Linked DNA regions of Lonchura striata. The protein of the gene in region 1 interacts with the protein of each later gene in a biochemical or structural test. Links are inferred from orthologs where the notes say so. Each region holds a gene or a part of one and is shown on either strand. Other genes may lie near its edges.

Region 1 (10,366 bases):
CAAGAAATTAATCCTAAAACCAAGTTCAACATTTTGCCTGTTACTAAAGTTTATCAACCAGCTGTAACTCAGGTAATTCAAATAATACATCAGTTATGGCTTCCCAGTAATTAAACCACCTATTCCTGTTTGAGGAGGGCTACCTGCACTTTTGCTAAGTAGATTAGGAATCGTTTAAAGCACACCAAAATAAATCACTTAAGCTAAAAGAAGTACTGTATTATCTGCACAAAACTTGCAGATTCTCTAAGAATGCATCCATCAATCCCTTCTTTTCCCCAACTTGGGGCAGACACACACAAGTATCAGCACAGAAGTTCGTGCTCGGCTGCATTCCTCTACACAAGAGGACAGGTACTCTCTCAGCATGCCTCTGGACGCAGCAGAGTAGGTTCAGGTCACGCAATATCACTTTAACATGAACGCTTGCATTATCAGGAGCTCTCTCTCCCTCCCCGTGCATGGCTGCTGCACACATGTGGGGCCAAGACATCAGCTCCACATCGCTGCTGGCTCCCTGCACAGCCACACCACACCCTACAGCAGCTCCTTCCAGCAACATCTGCTTGAGATTTTTAACAGATTTGCTCATCAGTAAGTGCAAGGGGGGGTGGCGTTTGCCAGAGCAGCAGCCACATATCCACAGATCACTTGCACAGCACCTTAAATTGATGTGCAGATTAAAAAGGTATGTTCTTGCTAGCAATTTTTTCCACACAAATTCAGAGAGTGCTAACAATGCAGGCAATGCAAAGTACACAACTTAAATTTTCAGTTCAGGCACGGCATAAAGTAAGTAGCATTCAAATAACAGAGACAGGCACTGAATGTATTACTAAGAGAAAACAAAGTCATGTAAAAAACGAGATCATCCTTTCTTCCCCCAAAGCTGACTACATACAGACTCACTGAAGCTTCAAATTAACTTTTCTCAGGTGTGCTACTGATTTCAAAGATGTCACTGCCAGAAAACTTACTACATGACACTTCTAAACCCTCATATTCAAAATATCCACACTCTATTTAACCAAATTCATTACATCTCATCTCCAGGAAGAAAGAAAAGACCACACTAACACTGTATCAATGACCACTTCAAAAATTACATCTTACTCTATGCTAGGACTTAAATGGTCTAACTGACAAGAATTTTCTTAGTATAAGGTAAAAACAAAGTCAAAGGTTTGAGATTAATCCTGTCTCTGAAGGTCAGTTCATGTATGGAAAGTCATTTGTGTAAGGTGAAAGAGTCCCCTTCTCCTTCCCAGAGCAGCAAGTTAAACTGCTCCTGTGAGGTTTCATAACAGTCAAGAAAAGGCTATTTGTCATGGTTACACCCACTTCCTAACCCAATAAAAAATTAAGAAATATACTAAGTATTTACTAAGATTAATTTATCTATGAAACTGTGTCAAACTTCCTTCACAAAGCACAAAGTCTCCCACCCTGAAAGAGGCGGATAAGCTACAAAATATACCTAACACCCAATGCAACAGAGGCTGGATATCTCTTTTTCAAATATTAAAGCCATTAATTATTTACATCCCAAATACTCTATAGAGTTGTTTCTCAAACTGCAGGCCATACAGAATTTTTCTTCCATTAAACTCCTCATATTCAGTTTGCAGACAACAAATTGCTTGGGGAAAAAATTCCAAGTTACCTGTCTTCCTTAATAAACCTGCCAGAAAAACCTTAATTACCTCAGTTCATCCTAAACAAAAGCTTAGGCTAGTATCCATTTCAAAAGATGAATCCTAATACAACTACAAAATTAAGTATGACCTTGTCCTCTGTGAACTCTCTTCAGTGTCATCAGCTCCAGACCTCTGAGTGAAGAAGTCAACACTGTTTCAGCTTATTTTAGAGAGGACTAATAACTACCATCAAGGTGCAATATTAACCTACATTTTCAAAAACACTAGCTAAGAAGAATTTTCAGATGATCAGCAGATATGCTCAGGAGTCCTCCGATTATTTGTGGTTCTACAGTTACTATCTCCTCTTTTCTTTGAAGTGTTTTGCCATTCTCACAGCTGCTGCATGAATAAGTGTGACAACAAATTACACAGAAAACCTAACAAAAACTGTAGAACAAAATGACAGAAAACGCACCAAACCAAACTGGAAAAAACTACTTCCTCACATTTTTTCAACTACTTAAGAGCACAGCAATACTTCAGGAGAAAGATGGTTTCCAAAAACCACTGCCTTTACACATCTAGACTATTATCTAGGTTATTAAGCATAATGTATCAAATACTTGGTTACAAAATTCAACAGTGTCCTGTACTCTGAACACACAGGGATTGCGACAATAAATTCATTGGGTTTTAAGTGATTACTCCTTAGATGAAAAACACAAATCCATTATTGAAAGCATACAATACAGAAGTATGATCCCAAAATCTAATTTTGAGAAACAACTATCATTCAGAATACAGACAGAAAAAAAACTTGACTGACCACTGACCCAGACTCAAAAAAGCTTATAAAGTGAGAGAGAAAAGAAACATCACAGAGACACGAGACGTTCCAAGATCCTAACTTCTATGAGTATGTGTATGAGAATTTATTAAGCCATCTAGATCTTTATCAACATTGACAGAATAGAAATATGCAGCAATGCTACTGATAAAATTGAACTGGCATTTCCAGCACATATGTGTGTGCCTCAACTCTATTTATGAATCATTCTGATTTCACTGCATTACAAGTTCTGATACATAGCTACTGCCCTTTTAGTAAAATTACATTTATGAAGCCAAAATTTCTGACTTGCAGCTCAGATCAAGGAGTCACTTGATTTTTCAGAACAGTCACTACTTAACAGCACTGCTGCAGCTTTCTCCATATATTAATTACCACATATTTGGAAGGTTCATGTATCAAAAAGTAGGTGTAGAAGCTGCTGCTGTGTTAAGAAGAAAAAAAAAATTTAAAAACCGAGAAAGCATTATGAAGACTGAAAGGGACTCACATTTTATATCAATGTGTCAACAGAAGAGGTAACATTAAAGAAAAAACAGATGAGCTCTCTCACTTGGAGCAAAGTGTGATAATTACATGCTAAATGTTTTCTAAGGGCCAACCAATATAAAAAGAAAAAAAAAAAGAAAACCCACTGGGGTCTTTTCAAGCTCGAAGGCCTAGATCTTACTCCAAACCAAAAGAGTGCAAGCAATAAGTCACAGAACAGCATCATCTCTCAGTTTGTCACTCTAAAGGAAGATGGTCTATGCCAAATTTGAATGCAGTACCTATGGAGAAAGCAAATCAATTCTGTAGGAATGGCTAGGCCTCCTAGGAAGCAGGATTCTGTAAAATGCATTATCAGGCTATGGAAAAAAATACAGTCCACAGTAACACACTTCAGGTTTTGGATCTGTTTTATCTTTTCTTTTCCCTGTATAAACATATTGGCTATGTAGTTAGGCAGAAATTCTGCCTTCAAAACTACCTATTTTCCTTATTATACACGCTCAAACCTCACCTGCTCCAAAAGGCATCTCAGCAAAGACTGTTCTTGGAGAAGTGGCCTAACTACAAAGAACTGTGGAATGACCTGGACCCTGACCTACTGGTACTATCAAAGCCAGGAGAGTATAAGCAAGAGCTTATGCTTTTTAAGACTTAAAAATACTTAAATATTGTTTAGAATCATTAAATAACATTCGTATTTAGTGTAAAAACACTTTAGGTTTCTATCTAGCGATGATTAAAGATCACGATTTATTCACACATAAATTTGTGAGAAATTAAACATGAAGTTTTTAAGAATTCCTCTATAAAAGAGCAGAAGTAAAATTTGCAAGCTATTACACATACCATTAACAATTGCTATAGAAGAAATATTTGACAGCCACACAGAGCTGTCAAATAAACGTCAAGCAGCGAGGAAAATTTGTTTCATGGATTCATTTTCTCTCAAAGCACTCCAGTTTCTCCCCAGCCTGCAATTTCTCTCCCCCAATCCTACATAAAGTTAGCTGCGTGGTTTCCAGGCTGGCAGCTGTCATCCCCATCTCCGCCAAGCCGCACAACATCAGTGATTTGGAGATCGGGCTTCCTTTTGTATCGAACACCCGGTGCGTGAGCAGGGGAAGGCAGCGCACACCGGCGCTGCGTGTGACAGCGCTGCCGCCTTTATCCCCGCTCCCGTCATTCTCTCACACGCCGCGATCCCCCATCCGCATTGTCTGCCTCGCTCCATCCCTGGTTAATATGGACGCGTTCTCGCTCCTCGGCCGGGGATCCCCGGGAACCCGCTTCCTCGGCCAGGGAGCGCCGGCAGCCCCGTTCCTCGGCCGGATGCCGAGATTCCCGTGGCCGGCCGGAGCCCCCGCCGGGCCCGCGGCGAAAGTCGCGGCCCCGGCGCCGCGCGGGGCGAACCGCGGCGGCGGCGGCTGCCGGGAGCGGCCGCTCGGAGCGGGGCGCGCCGGGACCCGGCGGAACCGCGGCCCGGCGGGGGGGGTCGGGCCGGCCCCGCTGCCCCGGAGCCCCTCCCCTCGTCCCCGGGGGGCCCCTCCCCTCCGCCCCCCCTCACCGGTCGTTGAGCTGGTCCTCGGTGCCCGGCAGCGGGTGCACCACGAAGTGGATCGAGGTCATGTTCCGCGCCGGTGCCCCCCCGGCGGCGGCGGGAGGCGGGCGGGCGGGGGCCGGGCACACAATGGGGGCGGCGGGGGAGGGGGCTCTCGGCCTCCGTCCCTCCCCCGGGGTGGTTCGGGGCCGCCCGGCGGAGTCTGGGGCTCTCGGCGGCCGCGGCGCTGCGGGCGCGGGGCGGGGCGGAACGGCCGCAACGGCGCCGCTCGGAGCTGGGCCCGCGCCGCGCTCACGCACGCGCCGCCATCTTGGCTTCCAGCGGGCCCTTCTCCCTGCCCCTCCCCCGCCCTCCGTGCGCCGCGACAGGGAAGGGGCGGGGCGCGACCGGCGCGCGCGGCGGCGCGCGTGCAAGCCTCGTGCTGACTGGCGCGCGCGGCTCCCTCCCCTGCCACTAAGCGCGCCGCCGATTGGCCCGGCGCGCCGCCCTCGCGGCGGGCCGCGGTGACGTCATTGCGCAAGAGGGACGTAAAGCACCACGTGCCTGCCCCTGGCTCTCTTCCCCCCCCCGCCACCCCCCTCCCCCAGCCCCGGCGGCTCCCGGCGGGCGGCGCGCGCGGTGCCCCTGAGGGGCGGGAGCGGAGCCGGCGCCGCCGGCCGGAGCGCGGAGGGGCGGGAGGGCGCCGCTCCCGGGGCTGCTCCCGGGCGCTGCTCCCGGGCGCTGCTCCCGGGCGCTGCTCCCGGGCGCTGCTCCCCGGGGCTGCTCCCCGGCGCCGCTCCCCGGCGCCGCTCCCCGGCGCTGCTCCCGGGGCTGCTCCCGGGGCTGCTCCCGGGCTCCGCTCCCCGGGGCTGCTCCCGGGGCTGCTCCCGGGCTCCGCTCCCCGGGGCTGCTCCCGGCGCCGCTCCCGGGGCCGCTCCCCGGGGCCGCTCCCCGGGCGCCGCTCCCCGGGGCTGCGCAGGGATTTCCCCCAGTGCCCGCAGGTGCTTCAGGCCCAGCGCCCGTCGGCACCCGCTCTCGGCGGCCCGTGCTGACTCTCTCCTTTCCGGTTGCGTTTCTTGTTGCATTTCTAGTCAAGTCTTCCCTTCAGAAGCCGGGAATTTTCACCACTTTTCAGGGAGGTTCACAGAATCATTAGGTTTGGAAGGGACCTCTGGAGATCGTGCAGATCTGCCCCTCTGGCAGGGCAGGGTCATCCGGAGCAGGTGGCACAGGAACGTGTCCAGGTGGGTTTGGGATGCCTCCAGAGGGGGAGCGACATCCCTGGGCAGCCTCTTCCGTGCTCTGACACTCTGCATAAAAGCCGCTCTACCTTACGGTGAGGTGGAACTTGTATTTCAGTTTAGGGCCTTTAGTCCTCGTCCTGTCGCTAGGCACCAGCAAAAGGCATCTGGCAACATCTTCCTGACACATTCCTTTAAGATATTTATATCTTTGATGCGGTCCCTTTTCAGTCTTCTTTAGGCTAACCATTAGGTTGGTGGTATAGAAGAATAAAAAGGTACCACGCTGTGAAACTCGGTGCCTCTGGCCTGGCATGCCTTCCCTCTGGACAGGATTCAATTGAATTGTTCCACACCTTGCCAATGGAGCTGTTTTTAACAAATTAACATGTCAATGTACCGAAGGTTGAGTAGCAAAGTCAATAAAACAGCCATTTGTTTCTATAGAAACTAAACACCTTAGCAGGGATTGTACCAAGCTTTGATTTTGGTGATTTTTTTTTTTTTTTAACTGGAATTTACTGCTTTTGCAGCCTGCTCTTCTTGTTTTCGGGAAATCAGAAATTTTGAAAACTGACTCAGAATTTTTTAGCATGTGAGAAATGATGGTGATCACATGATAGCAGTGCCAAAAAACTTTTAGAACCTAGTTCAGTGAGTTAGAACTGATTTCTGAGTCTGTATAATCGTAAACACTAAAAATCTCAGTTTGTTCCCCACTTTCAGACCTTAAGGAACTTTGTAACTTCCCATCTTCCACTCCCTTTTCTTCCTAGCCTCTTTTTCCAGTTCAGCTGAAAGGAGCTAATCCAAGAATAGGCTGATGCAGCTGCTTGCTGCCCAGAGATTTGGGGAGTTTATGAAGCTTTTTTTCCCCAACTATCATTAACATGAGGAAATGTCATAAAGAGAAGAAATACTCAATTGATGCATTCCAGATTTCTTAGATGAAGTTTCTCCATATGTTCTGTTCTCAAGTGGCAGTGATACTCAAATGCCTCCAAGAATACAAATAAGTAATTTAGCTTATCCTGGGAGGGAAATACTAACAGGTTTCTGGAAATCTATGAGGCGTGGAATAGGACTCCTTCTGTTTGGTAGTGAGACAGTGCAGTAGCTGTGCTTCTAAAAACTAGTAGATCCATGTTTATGTTTTTACATTTTTTCCTGTTAGAACAGAGCTTAGCATTTATTTATTATTTAGTTCTGTGTTTGACTGTACCTAAGTTTGTTAGGTTTTTTCCTGCCTTTTTTCTTCCCAGCATCAGTCTTTATGCTTTCCCTGAAAGTATTTGTGGTGTTTATCACAGTGATTCTTGTGAGCTGTGTTTACCTCAGTTATTTTATCAGAATCAATTGCATGTTTTGATAAGCACCTGAAAAGCCTTGCTTCTCCATTTGATTTTTTTTTCCCATGCAAAAAAGAAAAATATTTCCCTTTGGCCATCATTTCTTTTTTCCATTGAACAGCAGGAAGATGGGTCACGTGAATTCCTGTGGAGCCCTTCTGAATACTGTCAAGAATTTTTGGTAGGTTTTGGGAAATTCCAGATAATTGTGTTTGCTTTTCTGTTCAAGATGTAGCTCTCCAAAGCATTTACATTTCCAAATGCTATGATTTGTTCATTGGAATTCTTCAAGGGGATGGGCATAAGGAAGAGATTTCCATTGCTCTCTCTCTTTCACCATTAACACACAGCCTTTAAAAGTTAATGGGTTATGGAAACTGGATAGATACAGGAAAGGAGTTGGGAAAGCCCTAAGGGGGTGCACATCTGTTAGGCCTCAGCATTCTGCGGCTGGCCATTTCCAAGCAATCCTTTTCTGTAGCTTTATTTACATTGTGTCTGAACCCCGGTTTTAGCCATTGCTTGTGGCTTTGCCAATGCAAACACTCAGCATGACCAAAATTTTTTTAAAAATTAAAACAGATTCCACTGGAACTGTATTCGGAGCCAGAATAAACTTGAGTAGTGCAAATGTCAGCTCTTGTTCACACAAAGAGTTTACACTGCTGCCTAAAATGGCAACTAAACATAGGTGAGAGGACACAAAGCCAAGTGCTCAACCCATGATGTTATTCTGACAGGAGTTTGGAATATGGAGGAAGTTCCAGCTCAAGGATGTGAGGCTGCATCTTACTGGTTGACTTTTGCATTACCAGGAAGTGGCAAGCGTTGAATGCCTGCTTTGGCCAATTGGTTTTGGAAGATAATTACGGGGGGTTACAGCATGTTAGCCCTTTGATTATCTGAAGTTGACTTCAAATAGAATTGCTTTCTGATTGCAGAGCTACTCATTCTTACAACCTGTGTTTTTTAAGTACTTCAAAACAGAAGATTTGTCTGAAGTGTTCTCTCAATTGCCCCAGTCTTGGATGTGAGCATCCAATACTGAAATGATATTTTGAATTCATGTTTGCCAAGTCATGAAAAAATCTTTCTTTACAAAATATAACTTTAAGACGACACTGTATGTCTTGGCCTAAGAAATTTGGCTGCCTACGTTGCAAAGCTCCTCCATGTGTAGATAGTGCTATTTTCAGGTCTACAGGTAAAGCAACAGCTTCCTTATGAAGGTGCAGCTATAAATACACCAACACCCAACCTGCAGAACAAGTCTCTTGCTCATATATTTTCTGTGCAAGAGTTTTGTCAACTTGGAAATACCATACAAAATAACTCCTGTTATATCTGCTGTCATATCTGAAATTCTGTTTTGATGGGTCAGTGTTTCTTGAAGTTTTCAGACTGGTAGAAGCACAGAGATCCAAAGAGGGATCTCTGGAGGTCATCTTATCCAGCCTCCTGCTCCACAGATGTTCAGTTCCAGTGGATCAGGAACTTTCACATTAGAAAAAGCTTCTCAATAACATGCACTGGGACAGATTTATTCCCAACTGCTTGCTACACAGCAGCTGCAGGCCTGGCAGATTACACAGAGTCTGTTCATTCTGAGGGGAGGGGACCTGCTAAAGATGGGAGGATTGGGGTAAGAGGACTGGAATGGACTTTGCTCTGTAAACAGTGGGAGCAGATGCCAGCAGGTGTAGCACAGGCCAATGGCTGATGGGATGTGCAGAAGTCAGGGAAGAGGCCCCTAGTGGAATTAAAGGCTTCAGGCAGTGAAGGAGAGCTCCGGAGTGCACTTTCCATGCTGTTAACTCCAGATATCAACAGCTGACATCAGGCTGGCACCGTAAGATTGTATTTTGCTCTGGAAGAAATGAGGCCAGCATTCCTAGAAATGTCAGGCAAGATTGCTGTGCAGAAAACTGCAGTTTCTAGATTGTTCCCAAGGCTGAAAAGAAGTTCATATAATGAAGAGCAAAGTACATGGCAACGTTTCCATCACCTTGTGTCACAGACTGAAGCAAGGTAACACTTTCATAGCAGAGCAGATGAAAACTCATTTTCCATGGAACTTTTCTTACAATGGGTTTTTCAATGTCTAGTAGTGCACACATGATTTTTCTCTGCCCTGTGATTCTTCAGCAACTAAAAAAGTTACTGAAGCTCTGCTTTGATCTTTATCTTTCCCCTAGCAGGAGGACTTAGCTGGTTCTCCTGCTGCCTCTCGAATTCTTGGGTCACTTAAGCTAGCAGAAACCTCTGAAACCATAGATTTGGCTGAGACTCAGATATTCAGAAGTGAATATGGTGAGCTTTGGCACACAGCCTGGACTAAAATACATTATTTAAAATCAGGCAATTATGGAGGTGCGTAATCTCCCTTCTCCTCCCTTGTCTGATCTACTCTGCATTTCCTCTTTTTAGCTCTGCAACAAAGGGCCCCAGTGAAGGGACAGAAATTAGGATTCTGCAAGAAATTTAGCCTCCAAGAAAGCTGGAGAGGGACTTTCTACAAAGGCACATAGTAATGGCTTTACTTTGGAAGAGGGCAGATTTAGATGAAAGATAAGGTAGAAATTATTCAGTGTGAAGGTGGTGATGCACTGGAGCAGACTGCCTGAAGAAGCTGTGGATGTCTCATCCCTGGAAGCGTTCAAGGTTGCATGGGGCTTTGAGCAACATGGTCCAGTGGAAAGTATCTCTTCCCATGGCATGGAAGTTGGAACTAGATGTTCTTTAATGTCCTTTCCAACCCAAGTAACGCAAGGTACCTATGATCTATTTCTCCTTCCTTTACAGTATGGTTTGCTTTCTTTGTTTAGTGGTGTTGGCACAACATGTCTGGGATCAAAGTAAGCTATCTGCCCAGTGTTTGGTGGAGTTTGTAGATCCACCAGTAGCTGGTAGACTGAGATTTTGACACTCATTTGACATTGCATCTCACCATGGTTGTCACCTTACTTGCATCTTTCTCTTCCAGCTCCTGTAGAGACACTTCTGAACATCTATTCCTTCTGACTGGACATCTAGGACATCTTGTCCAAGCCCCACCACAAAGTTTACATGATCACTTCCTTATGTGTAGACCAGACCTGTCCAGTGACAAATGCAGCTGAATGTGACGAGGAGCTCATGAGGCATCCTGGGCACTGTGCAGGAGCTGAAGGAGGAGGCTGTGGGCAGCCTCTTGTGTGACTGTCCCTGTAAGGTGGCATGGGCACAACTGGCGTGCACAGTGTACTTGGTGGTGTTAT
Region 2 (10,816 bases), on another chromosome or scaffold:
TGAGACCTAAAGCAGATGAGAAGAGCTCCTAAGTGAACAGAATTACACATACCTGGCCACTGGTCAGGTACCAGTGGCTACAGAGCCCATTACTCACATAGTCACACTGAAACTTGACAGGGGTTTTTTTTTGGTTTTTTTTATGACAATGTTCCTTTAGGAAGAGTCCCCAGATTAGATTCACACCTCAAGAAATAGTTCTAGAGGGATGACGGCTTATCAAAATTGAAATTACATGTCTCAATCCCATCTCCAGAGCTGAACCTGTAAAAGTGAGTTTAAAAATAAAGTAATAATAATAACAATAATAACTATTTCATCTGCCAAAGAAGAACAACAAACAAGAAACCAGTGTGCCCATGGTGTAATGTCAGCCTTGGCATGCACTGTGTCACAATCAGGACTTTCCCTAAAATATAACTCAGGATTGAGCACTTGAGCTGTTACTAAATGAAGCATCAAAGGTTGGTGACTTTGTTTAGAGACTTTAAAATGCACCAGTGCATCTTCCTGGCTGCTGAAATTTGCTTCCATGTATTTTGAGAAATGTCTGTTGTCAAGCTGAAAATGTTGGGCAGGTTAATGGAAGTACAGTCTAATCGTGATAAATCTGTGTATTTTTTCCCACTCCTCCACCATCAGAACAAGCCACTTCATTTTGAACATGTGCAAAAAAAATGACATTTTGTAGGGATCCACAAACAGCATAGCTTACAATCTGCCCAATCCTGTGTGGGTTAGGGCTGGAACGGAGGTGAGCAGGAGGTGAAGCACTGTGTCCCCAGTTTGCTGCTACCTGTTGTGGCTGGTGGCAGGGGCTCGGTCTCACGGTTCACGCAGCACACGTGGAGAAGAGTGCACAGTACATGTGAAGAAGGGTGCACAGCACATGTGGAGAAGAGTGCACAGCACACGTGGAGTGCACAGCACATGTGGAGAAGAGTGTACAGCACATGTGGAGAAGGGTGCACAGCACATGTGGAGAAGAGTGCACAGCACATGTGGAGAAGAGTGCACAGCACATGTGAAGAAGGGTGCACAGCACATGTGGAGAAGGGTGCACAGCACATGTGAAGAAGAGTGCACAGCACATGTGGAGAAGAGTGCACAGCACATGTGAAGAAGGGTGCACAGCACATGTGGAGAAGAGTGCACAGCACATGTGGAGAAGAGTGCACAGCACATGCAGCAGGCCCCCAGCCCGCTGCAGTGGGTCAGTGCCCAGGGCCCCCAGCCCTCCTGCAGTGGGTCAGTGCCCAGGGCCCCCAGCCCACTGCAGTGGGTCAGTGCCCAGGGCCCCCAGCCCACTGCAGTGGGTCAATGCCCAGGGCCCCCAGCCCTCCTGCAGTGGGTCAGTGCCCAGGGCCCCCAGCCCACTGCAGTGGGTCAATGCCCAGGGCCCCCAGCCCACTGCAGTGGGTCAATGCCCAGGGCCCTCAGCCCACTGCAGTGGGTCAGTGCCCAGGGCCCCCAGCCCTCCTGCAGTGGGTCAGTGCCCAGGGCCCCCAGCCCACTGCAGTGGGTCAGTGCCCAGGGCCCCCAGCCCTCCTGCAGTGGGTCAATGCCCAGGGCCCCCAGCCCACTGCAGTGGGTCAATGCCCAGGGCCCCCAGCCCACTGCAGTGGGTCAGTGCCCAGGGCTCCCAGCCCTCCTGCAGTGGGTCAGTGCCCAGGGCCCCCAGCCCGCTGCAGTGGGTCAATGCCCAGGGCCCCCTGCCCACTGCAGTGGGTCAGTGCCTCAGAGCCGCCTGCAGGAGCGGGGCTGTGGGGCGGAAATATCGCCCGGCGCTGCGCAGGGTCTGGAACAAGCACTTGGCTCGCTCACAGACTCTTTTGCAACTGCAGACAATTTGCACGGTTCACGTTTTCTTTTGGAAGTTGAGAGAATGATCCCTGCCCTGCTCTCTCTGAGATTGCAAGGGCTGCCCTTGGGTCTGGACTCTGTGGCATCCAGTCCAGCAGCTGTCAGAGGGTGCTCGGTGTCATCTGAGCAAAACACCACAGAAATAGCAATCCAGAGGCAGTGCTCTTCCGTTAGTAGAGCAGCTCAGAGAATCTTTAAAAAACCTACAATTTTATAGCAAAATACCCAAGTGACAAACTCCTTGGAGGTGACAATATGTACTAGAATTAGCAATGGGAGGGAAGTAGAATTTCTGAGTATTATTATATGCCATTAACAACTTTCAGATCTCACTGTGAGAGCTTTGTTGCACTTTGCTTTGTAGTGATGAGTTAAGCTTCCTAATGACACTTTTTCTGAGCATTTAAAACCTTTACATTTTTTGAGTCCTAGTAAATATGTGAAACCTGAAGTGCTCAAAAACTTGTTTTGAGCAACCTGAATAGTGTCCATCAAAGCAAACATCCTAAACCCCCTCCTTTCAAGGCACTTGTTGAACGCTGTCATCTTGAAATGTCAGATTCACACACATTTAAATGATTTGACAGCTTCCAAGAAGGCACCTGATAAGCATCACATTCAAGTGTCAAGAAGCACAGAGAAAAAGTGCCAAAAAAAGTTCAATCAGAAGAAATCGTATCAGCTATTAGATGAGCATTATAATGCAGTTATTACTAAAAAAGGCTTCTCATTTAAATGGAAAATAAACTTTACATTAAAGTAAACTCTTTTTTTAAAGGCTTTACATTTCCCCATACTACCTCTCACGTTTGCCATTTGTGAAATCTTCCAGAAACTGAATCCAGACAGCAGCACCCACTGGTACTGGGTGACACCTCAAGACCACTGTAACTGAGCCATTGGAAGTGCTACATCTGGGTTTTTATGTGGGAAACAGTGGGTGTTATGAGAATTCACTATCTTCACATAAAACCTTTAATGCCTTCTGTTGGCTTTCGAAAAGCTGAATCGCTAAATGAGAAGATTCTTGAAAAAATATCCTGGCCTTGATTTGCATATGCTCCAGTTATTTCATTGCACCAAATACTATGTGTGTTTTATATAGGGGCTTGAGGCTTACTGTGTGTTTGTGATATGCTTTGAGATCCTCTGATGGGAGGTGTTACCTAAATACAAGTAATTTGATGCTGAAGTGTCTAGAATTCCCAGTGGACATCTGTACTCGAGCCCTGCTGCCATCACAAATGAAAAACATTTGGAATCCTTAATGTGATTTTTAATGGACATATGTTCATAACACAGTGCCACCAATTTGGCATGTTTAGTGTCTTCTCAAGAGAAGCCCACAGTTTGTATAGCAAGATTGTGGGAGGTTAGGATTGCAGTGTTAGAAAATTTGCACAACACCTGCCTGACTGTAATTTAATTGGCAGAAATTAATGCTCTGGGTTTGGGAATTTTTTCCTTCTCTCAAAACCTAGAGACACTAGGACTAATTCTGCTGTATTACACTGTTGTATGTAAGCTTTTCTTCTGATTTTATTTGTGCTGCAATATGATAATTTCCTGCTCTACTGTCTTCCTGACAACTGGGCATTGCTGGCTTACTCTCAGTTATTTATATGTACACTGACTTACCTAGCCAGCAAAAAGCATTCCATTTTTTTTTACTTCTCTAAAAAAGAGCTCTGCCTAGTATTATTAAAGATAATGCTCCATTATATTTTTAATGAAGGTACTTTATGACATGTTTTAAAAGGAAAATATTTCTCATCAGCTCCACCAGTGACACAGTATGTGGACTCTGAAGACGAACACCAGCTTTGCCATTATTAAATTGGCTTTGGATTTTATCTTTGCTTATATCACAGCCCTATCTGAAGCAGGCTTTAACAGCTCTAATCCCACCAGATTTTTGTTTTCCTTTTCAGGAATGTTTGGTCTTGCCATGCAGCAAGGACAGCCCCTCTTACTTCACTATTTTCTTCCCTTATTTACAAAACATAATAAAAGGCTTTGCAGGGAAGATAGAGGGTACAGTCCCAGGGGATGTCCCTGCAGTAGGAGAGTCAGATCTGCAGTATTTTAGACTTGCAGGTGGGAAGGTGAGCTACAATCCTGATCCCTGCTGCTCTGCCAGCCTGGCCTTTTGTGGGTTGTAAGTCACTGCTGGCTGCCCCATCAAGAACCTTGCTGGGAACATCCAACTGCCTCACAAACCTGAGCAACAGCAGCGTTGTGAACACCCTTTATACAAGATAAGTCAATTTTGTTGCTTTTCAGAGCTTCCTTAAACTTAGCTGGGAATCCCAGATTTCCCTCTTCTGCAAACTACCAATGACAAGCATGGTAAAAACCCCATCAATACAAAAAAGTGACAAGTTGGCACAAAAGCATCACCTTATCCAGGCTCCAGATGCTTTGCTAAGCCTGGGTCTAAATAGAAGGAGAGGAAATGGCAGCAGGGTTATTTCTACAGTTCTGTTTGTCTGAAATACTTCAGTCTTCACACACCCAGACTGCATGGACAAACAATTGTCTAAAATGGAATAGGGGAAGCTAAAGACAGGCCTGCAGAAACAGAGACAAGAGCTCAAAGTGTCTGAGATCACACTCAAGTGTCTGATATCACACTGAGAATTCAGAATTATGAGTAGTAGTGGCTGTTGATATCAGATACTGCCACGACTGACACAGATACAGACTCAGCTCTGTGTATGTGCACCTTCACCCACAGAACAACAGTGTGCAGCCCCACTCCACAGCAGGTCTGTGTTTTTGCTCCGAGTACTAATTTAGGGATGGGTTTATATTTTATGATACTTCCCCCCATAAAACTCCAGGTAAAATAAAGCACAATATTTGAAAGAGGAGGTTAATTATTGCTGTTCTGCCTCTTCTGCAGTTGTAGCAATAGGAAATAACTGTTCCGTTTGCAAGAGCCTAAAACAAGCCATAAAGAAAAACTTCCTTGCCTGCACTGAAGGAACCCCAACACTTAGATTTATGTTGCTAGGGATTTTTTTAGAACTGCATAGACACAAATAAGAGCTGTGGGCCCTATGTAGTGGTTATTCAGGCCTGTCGGTGCTCACTGATGAACTTTATACCCAGATCAGGTAATGTTCCCAATGTGAGTAAACACTTCTTGGACGAGCCTCCACTTCACAGCCAGCTAGTGACCATCTGCCTACAAAATGTGCCAGCTGTACTTTGCCTCTGTGCATGACCTCCGTGTTCCTGGTTCCAGAAACTCTTTGTACTCAACCTTTCCCACACACACCAAGAAGTTATGACGTCTTTGATTTCAAAGCCAAAATGGATCAAAGTTTGGTTAAACTGCTAAATTTTGTAAGTGCTTCAAAACAGCAAATCCAGGGGCTAAGAACCTCCGCTTTCAACATTCATTAATCAAGCCTGTTAAATGATTACCCCGCCAGGGCTGCTTTGTTGACAACTCTGCATGATGACAATGTCAGTGGCACTGTCCCAAGACACATGCAGTGATGATGTAAAGGACAAGCCTCCTTCACCCCAACTGGTGGGATGGACACTACCATGAAGAATATTTAAGGGAGGAGGTCCATCCTTGGAACCAGCAATTGCAAGAGAGCTCCAAAGCAAGCGAAACGGGCTCAACTGAAAGCTACAGCAAAATTCTCTCTGGCATCCAGCTCCAGCTTCCATAGACAGTAAGTAGAATGGCCTCTATTTTTCCCATGTTAAATTAGTAGAATGGTCTCTATTTTTCCCATGTTAAATTAGTAGAATGGCCTCTATTTTTTCCACGTTGAAATTAGCAAATTCCCTACCTTGATTTTAAAGCAGTACATAATCAAGTCCATTGCAAATTCTTCGAGTTATATGCTGTTAGGCTTTGTGATGCTGGTTAGAACGTACAGTAAGCTAACACACCTAATTATTTGATTTCGTACAGTAAGCTAACACACCTAATCTATTTGATTTTTGATTGTGATCAGTATTTTACAGCCATCAACGAGATCCACAACAGCTTCAATAATGCCCCCACAGTTGAAAACTGACATGAGCGTCATGCCCAAGGTTGTCCAGGGGGATTGGGAGAGTCTGCCTCCAGAAGCGAGGGATTTCATCGAGACCAGTGCCAAGCTGTGCCAGCCTGAGTGCATTCACATCTGTGATGGCTCAGAAGAAGAGAACAGAAAACTTCTGGACATCATGGTACAACAAGGCATGATCAAGAAGCTGAGAAAGTATGAGAACTGGTGAGTAGCCTAAACGAAGTCAAGTATCATCTCAGAATTGGAAAATTCATTTTCTATCCTGTTTACTTAAAAAACTTCTTATAACTCTCCAATATTTGCTTTCCATGAACATTTTGGAACTTTTGCTTACATAGTGAAATACTCAGGAAAAGCAAACTTTTTCCTCTAAAAATTAGCATAAAGCATATTATTCAGTTGGACTATCAACTGTACATTTTCTCTGTTGATTAGTTACATCAGGGAACTGGAATAATGTCATGAGACTTACGCAACTTATCATTAACAATGGCTAAATATTATTGAGCAAATCTTCTTTTGAAGAATTCTACTATTTTAGCCAATTAGTTTATTCATCACATCTTTTTTGTGGCATTCAAATAGGTCTGTGGGTGTTCAAATATTATTCAGTACAGGCATTATTCATATCGTGCCAATGAGCTTTGACTCTAATGTATTCTGCAAATACTTTTTTCAAATATTTCATAATTTCTCCCAACAAACTGAACATGAAAAGAGAATATTAACAACAAGTGCATACTCGAGAATTACTTGCCAACCACGAGATCTTCATGGGAGAAATCTGCAAAGACTTTTGAATAACTAAGTGCAGGAATTTGGCAATCTGTTTGCAGACTATTTGGGAGAGAAAAGGGCAAGATTCACCAGATAAATTATTCATTGTTAATTATATGCTTAGCTGTAGTGATGATGGTTATGACAGCACAACTAGAACATTTTTATACTCGTGGAAAATTTCGATGCAGAGAGGTGAAAATGTAAAACAATCCCCTCTATCGTAAATAGATGGCAAAAAATTCCTCTGAGGGGAAAAAGAATCCCCTTTAATGAACTCCTTCACTTTTAATGATCGTGCTTATACTCAGTATTTGCTTTGTGATGCCTCTAATTTAAGGGACTATGCCAATCCACTAAGCTGGGTTCTGATCCCTTTGGCACTTATACCAACACTTAAACTACTTTCCTTGGCATCCACTTAGCTTGAAGCATCATTTTGTGGTCCCCATACAAAACAACTTCACACTGATGAGAATGAAAATTAAACAAGATTAACTTTTCCCTGAAAGTTAACAACAGACAATAAGGCTGAGATAAGAAGCAAAGAAGTATTAAACATGTAACAAAAATTTCCTTGGCCATATAATTTTTTATGATTTCTGGAAAGTCTTAAAGCAATTTTTTGAGATAATATATCTGACTGATTTTTGAGATTATCTGTTATACTGCTTTTTCACTAATTTTTGTCTTACAAAGCATTGTTTTAGTAGCTTTTTGTGCTAAAGTGGACCCACAGAAGGGTAAAAAGGCTATATTGATAATAAAAGTCTAATTTCCTGATTTTTGGTGAAATGCAGCTGGTTGGCTCTCACTGATCCAAGAGATGTGGCAAGAATTGAGAGCAAAACTGTCATCATCACTCAAGAGCAGAGAGATACCATTCCAATTCCTAAAACTGGAGCAAGCCAACTGGGGCGCTGGATGTCTGAGGAAGATTTTGAGAAAGCCTTCAACACCAGGTTCCCAGGCTGCATGCAAGGTAGGCAAGAAGAAGATAATTGACACTGAACTTTCAGCAATGCTGAGACACTTACTGCTGCAAGTTACTGTAATCTTTAAGGGACAATTTGAGCTGAAGATTTAGCTTTACGCCCCCAATAGTCACTCCACAGGTTTCATGCAGATCTTTCCCATAGACCCAAATACCTGGGCAAGGAAAGTCCTCAGTTTCTTTCCAGCACTCTTGTTTTCCTAAAGTGACAAAGTACAAAAATTCGTGTGACTTGGTTCAGGAAGTCACACAGCAAGTGAGGAGCAGATAAGAAGTGAGATGAGGATGAAGGGCCTCCCATCCATAGCAATAATTCCAGGTTCAGGGATTTACACTAACAGGGAACTTGGCCTTCACCTCCCCTTACTCCTGGCTAGACAATCTGTCTGAACTGCTGCTTTCATCATTTAAGATAGAACTTCTTGCTACACAATTAGACAAACAGAAAGCTGCAGCTCTTTAAACATCATCTCACAAGACAAACAGCTTTTAAATAACTGAGAAACAGCCTCCATGTTTATAAAGGTTACTTCAAATGTTCCTTGTTTTGCTCTTAGTCACATCTTGCTACTCCCTGTTTTCCAGGACGTACGATGTATGTCATCCCCTTCAGCATGGGGCCTATTGGGTCACCTTTGTCCAAGATTGGGATCGAGCTGACAGATTCACCCTACGTAGTGGCCAGCATGAGGATCATGACACGGATAGGAACAGATGTTTTGAAAGCCCTGGGCAGTGGGGAGTTTGTAAAATGCCTTCACTCAGTTGGATGCCCTCTGCCGCTAAAAGGTAAGAGCCATTAAAAACCCCAGAAGCCATTAAAAACCCCAGGAAATTCCCAGGGCTGTGTTTTGGAGATGAGTGCATGTCCTCTGCATGTGGGACACCCTCACCACAGAAGACTAGGCTGATTCTGTAACAGCACTAGGTTCAAAACTCAGTTAAAAGAATCAAAGCTCAGTGAGAGTTTGATGGAAAGGAGATCATTATCCCTAGTACTTACCAGGGATTTCCTTGAAGCATATGCTCTGGGTTGCTGTCAGAAGCTCGATGCTGATGAAACAACAGCGTGATCAAGCATGGAAATTGCTGCATTCATGACTGCAACATTCTGTTCTGCAGAGCCATTAATCAACAACTGGCCGTGCAACCCGGAGCTGACGCTGATTGCTCATCTCCCGGATCGCAGGGAGATCATTTCCTTTGGCAGCGGCTACGGAGGAAACTCCTTGCTGGGGAAGAAATGCTTTGCTCTCCGGATTGCCAGCAGACTGGCCAAGGAGGAGGGCTGGCTCGCAGAGCACATGCTGGTAAAAATCTATGCTGTTAAATCTTGTGTGTTTGAACAGCCTTTAAAACCTCAAATTAGAGCCACATAAATCCGTCACCCGTCTGGCCATCAATGGAATTAGTCTCATATGGATAGTCCTGTAACTTTAGATAGGAATCTGCCACATGCCAGGCTCCTGAGGAACAGAAAACTGCTTGCAAGGCCAAGTACTAAACATTGAAAATAGGACCTGTCATGGCATAGAACAAGCAAGGTTTGGAAATTCTGAGGGTGACTTCTTATAGGCAGCTTTGTGTACTTGAGCAGAGCCTGAACATCATCACTGGGCCAAATTATAAAGGGGTCTATGCACTCAAAAACCTGCAAATACCAGATTTTCTAAGGGTGTTCTGCTGTGTAACCTTCCTGGCTTTAATTTCTGCTATCCTTTAAACATTCTACCACCATAAAATACTACTGAAACAAAGAATTTCAAAGGGCATGGGAGAACAGCCTTAGAAAAAAAATATCTGTGGTTGTTGAGAAGAGCAGGAGTATCCATGCACAAAGTGCTTTCATTCCACTCATATACAGCCAAAATAATATTTCCTGCTTTTCTTCTGTATTGAGAGAGAAACATAGCAAAATAAATCAGCAAAATAAAAATAAATGTTTATTATATGCAGACCTAACATTAAAAAAAAATAGAATAATTTCTTAGAGATATTCTAATGGCAAGATGAGTTGACTCTGATTTTAAAAATACAGCTTGAGTTATTTGTCAACAATATTATGCAGTACTTCTTCTGTAGGAACAAATGTGCATAATTAAATATTTTATCATTTCCACTTGCTGGGAGACAATCTCCTAAATGAAAAGTGCAAGAAAAAAAGACTGTGTTTAACAGTTGCATTAATTTTTCTATAGATCCTGGGAATTACCAACCCAGAAGGTAAAAAGAAGTACTTTGCTGCAGCATTCCCTAGTGCATGTGGAAAAACTAACTTGGCTATGATGAATCCAAGCCTGCCAGGATGGAAAGTTGAGTGTGTGGGTGACGATATTGCCTGGATGAAATTTGATGAACAAGGTATGGAAATTAAATTGGAATGTTTTGCAGGTTGCTGTAGGTGCAGTAAGATGTGCTACAAACTTCTGGATAAAATTAAATCAGTATGGTTTACTTATATTTTATCATTTAACTTCCAGGCAACTTAAGGGCAATCAATCCTGAAAATGGCTTTTTTGGTGTCGCCCCTGGAACTTCAGTCAAAACAAACCCCAATGCTATTAAAACCATATTCAAGAACACCATCTTTACCAACGTGGCAGAAACCAGTGATGGAGGGGTTTACTGGGAAGGCATTGATGAGCCCCTGCCAGCTGGAGTGACAGTGACCTCGTGGAAGAACAAGGATTGGACCCCAGACAACGGTACCTGACCCACACAACAGCCCTCTCTTTGGCTTTCTTTGAAATTAATGAACAAATTCAAGTTAACTCTGCCGTCATAACCTTTATGCTGTGTTCTGTGCAGGAGAACCTTGTGCTCACCCCAACTCCAGGTTCTGCTCCCCAGCCAGGCAGTGCCCCATCATGGATCCTGCGTGGGAATCACCCGAAGGCGTTCCCATCGAAGGGATCATTTTTGGAGGCCGCAGACCAGCTGGTAAGAGATGCAGCAGCCACCTTTCCAGGCTGAAGTGTTGGCCACAGAAGGGTTGACACACAGCTGGCCATAGCCACAGGTTTTGCTTGCACAGCTGCAAAAGCAAGGAAATAACCACGTTAGTCCAATGTCTCTGTGTTAGCCTTTGGCACACACGCTTCCAGCCACTGGAGTTTCAGTGTCTGAATAGTTTGATGTTAAC

What was found. The genes of interacting proteins can lie anywhere in the genome.
Region 2: the proteins of UBR5 (region 1) and PCK1 form a complex in vitro, tested with the Homo sapiens proteins (2 studies listed by BioGRID, with this or other methods). The link is inferred for Lonchura striata from reciprocal best matches to the Homo sapiens genes UBR5 and PCK1.

Annotation. Positions count from the first base shown.
Region 1 is NC_134603.1:20,947,048-20,957,413, reverse strand, and holds the start of UBR5 (E3 ubiquitin-protein ligase UBR5), read right to left. Parts: upstream 4,650-10,366; 5' UTR 4,609-4,649; coding exon 4,547-4,608; intron 1-4,546. UniProt on the Homo sapiens protein: E3 ubiquitin-protein ligase involved in different protein quality control pathways in the cytoplasm and nucleus. Mainly acts as a ubiquitin chain elongator that extends pre-ubiquitinated substrates.
Region 2 is NC_134619.1:3,044,839-3,055,654, forward strand, and holds the start of PCK1 (phosphoenolpyruvate carboxykinase, cytosolic [GTP]), read left to right. Parts: upstream 1-5,449; 5' UTR 5,450-5,555; intron 5,556-5,843; 5' UTR 5,844-5,883; coding exon 5,884-6,107; intron 6,108-7,480; coding exon 7,481-7,662; intron 7,663-8,259; coding exon 8,260-8,463; intron 8,464-8,796; coding exon 8,797-8,984; intron 8,985-9,872; coding exon 9,873-10,035; intron 10,036-10,154; coding exon 10,155-10,379; intron 10,380-10,482; coding exon 10,483-10,614; intron 10,615-10,816. UniProt on the Homo sapiens protein: Cytosolic phosphoenolpyruvate carboxykinase that catalyzes the reversible decarboxylation and phosphorylation of oxaloacetate (OAA) and acts as the rate-limiting enzyme in gluconeogenesis.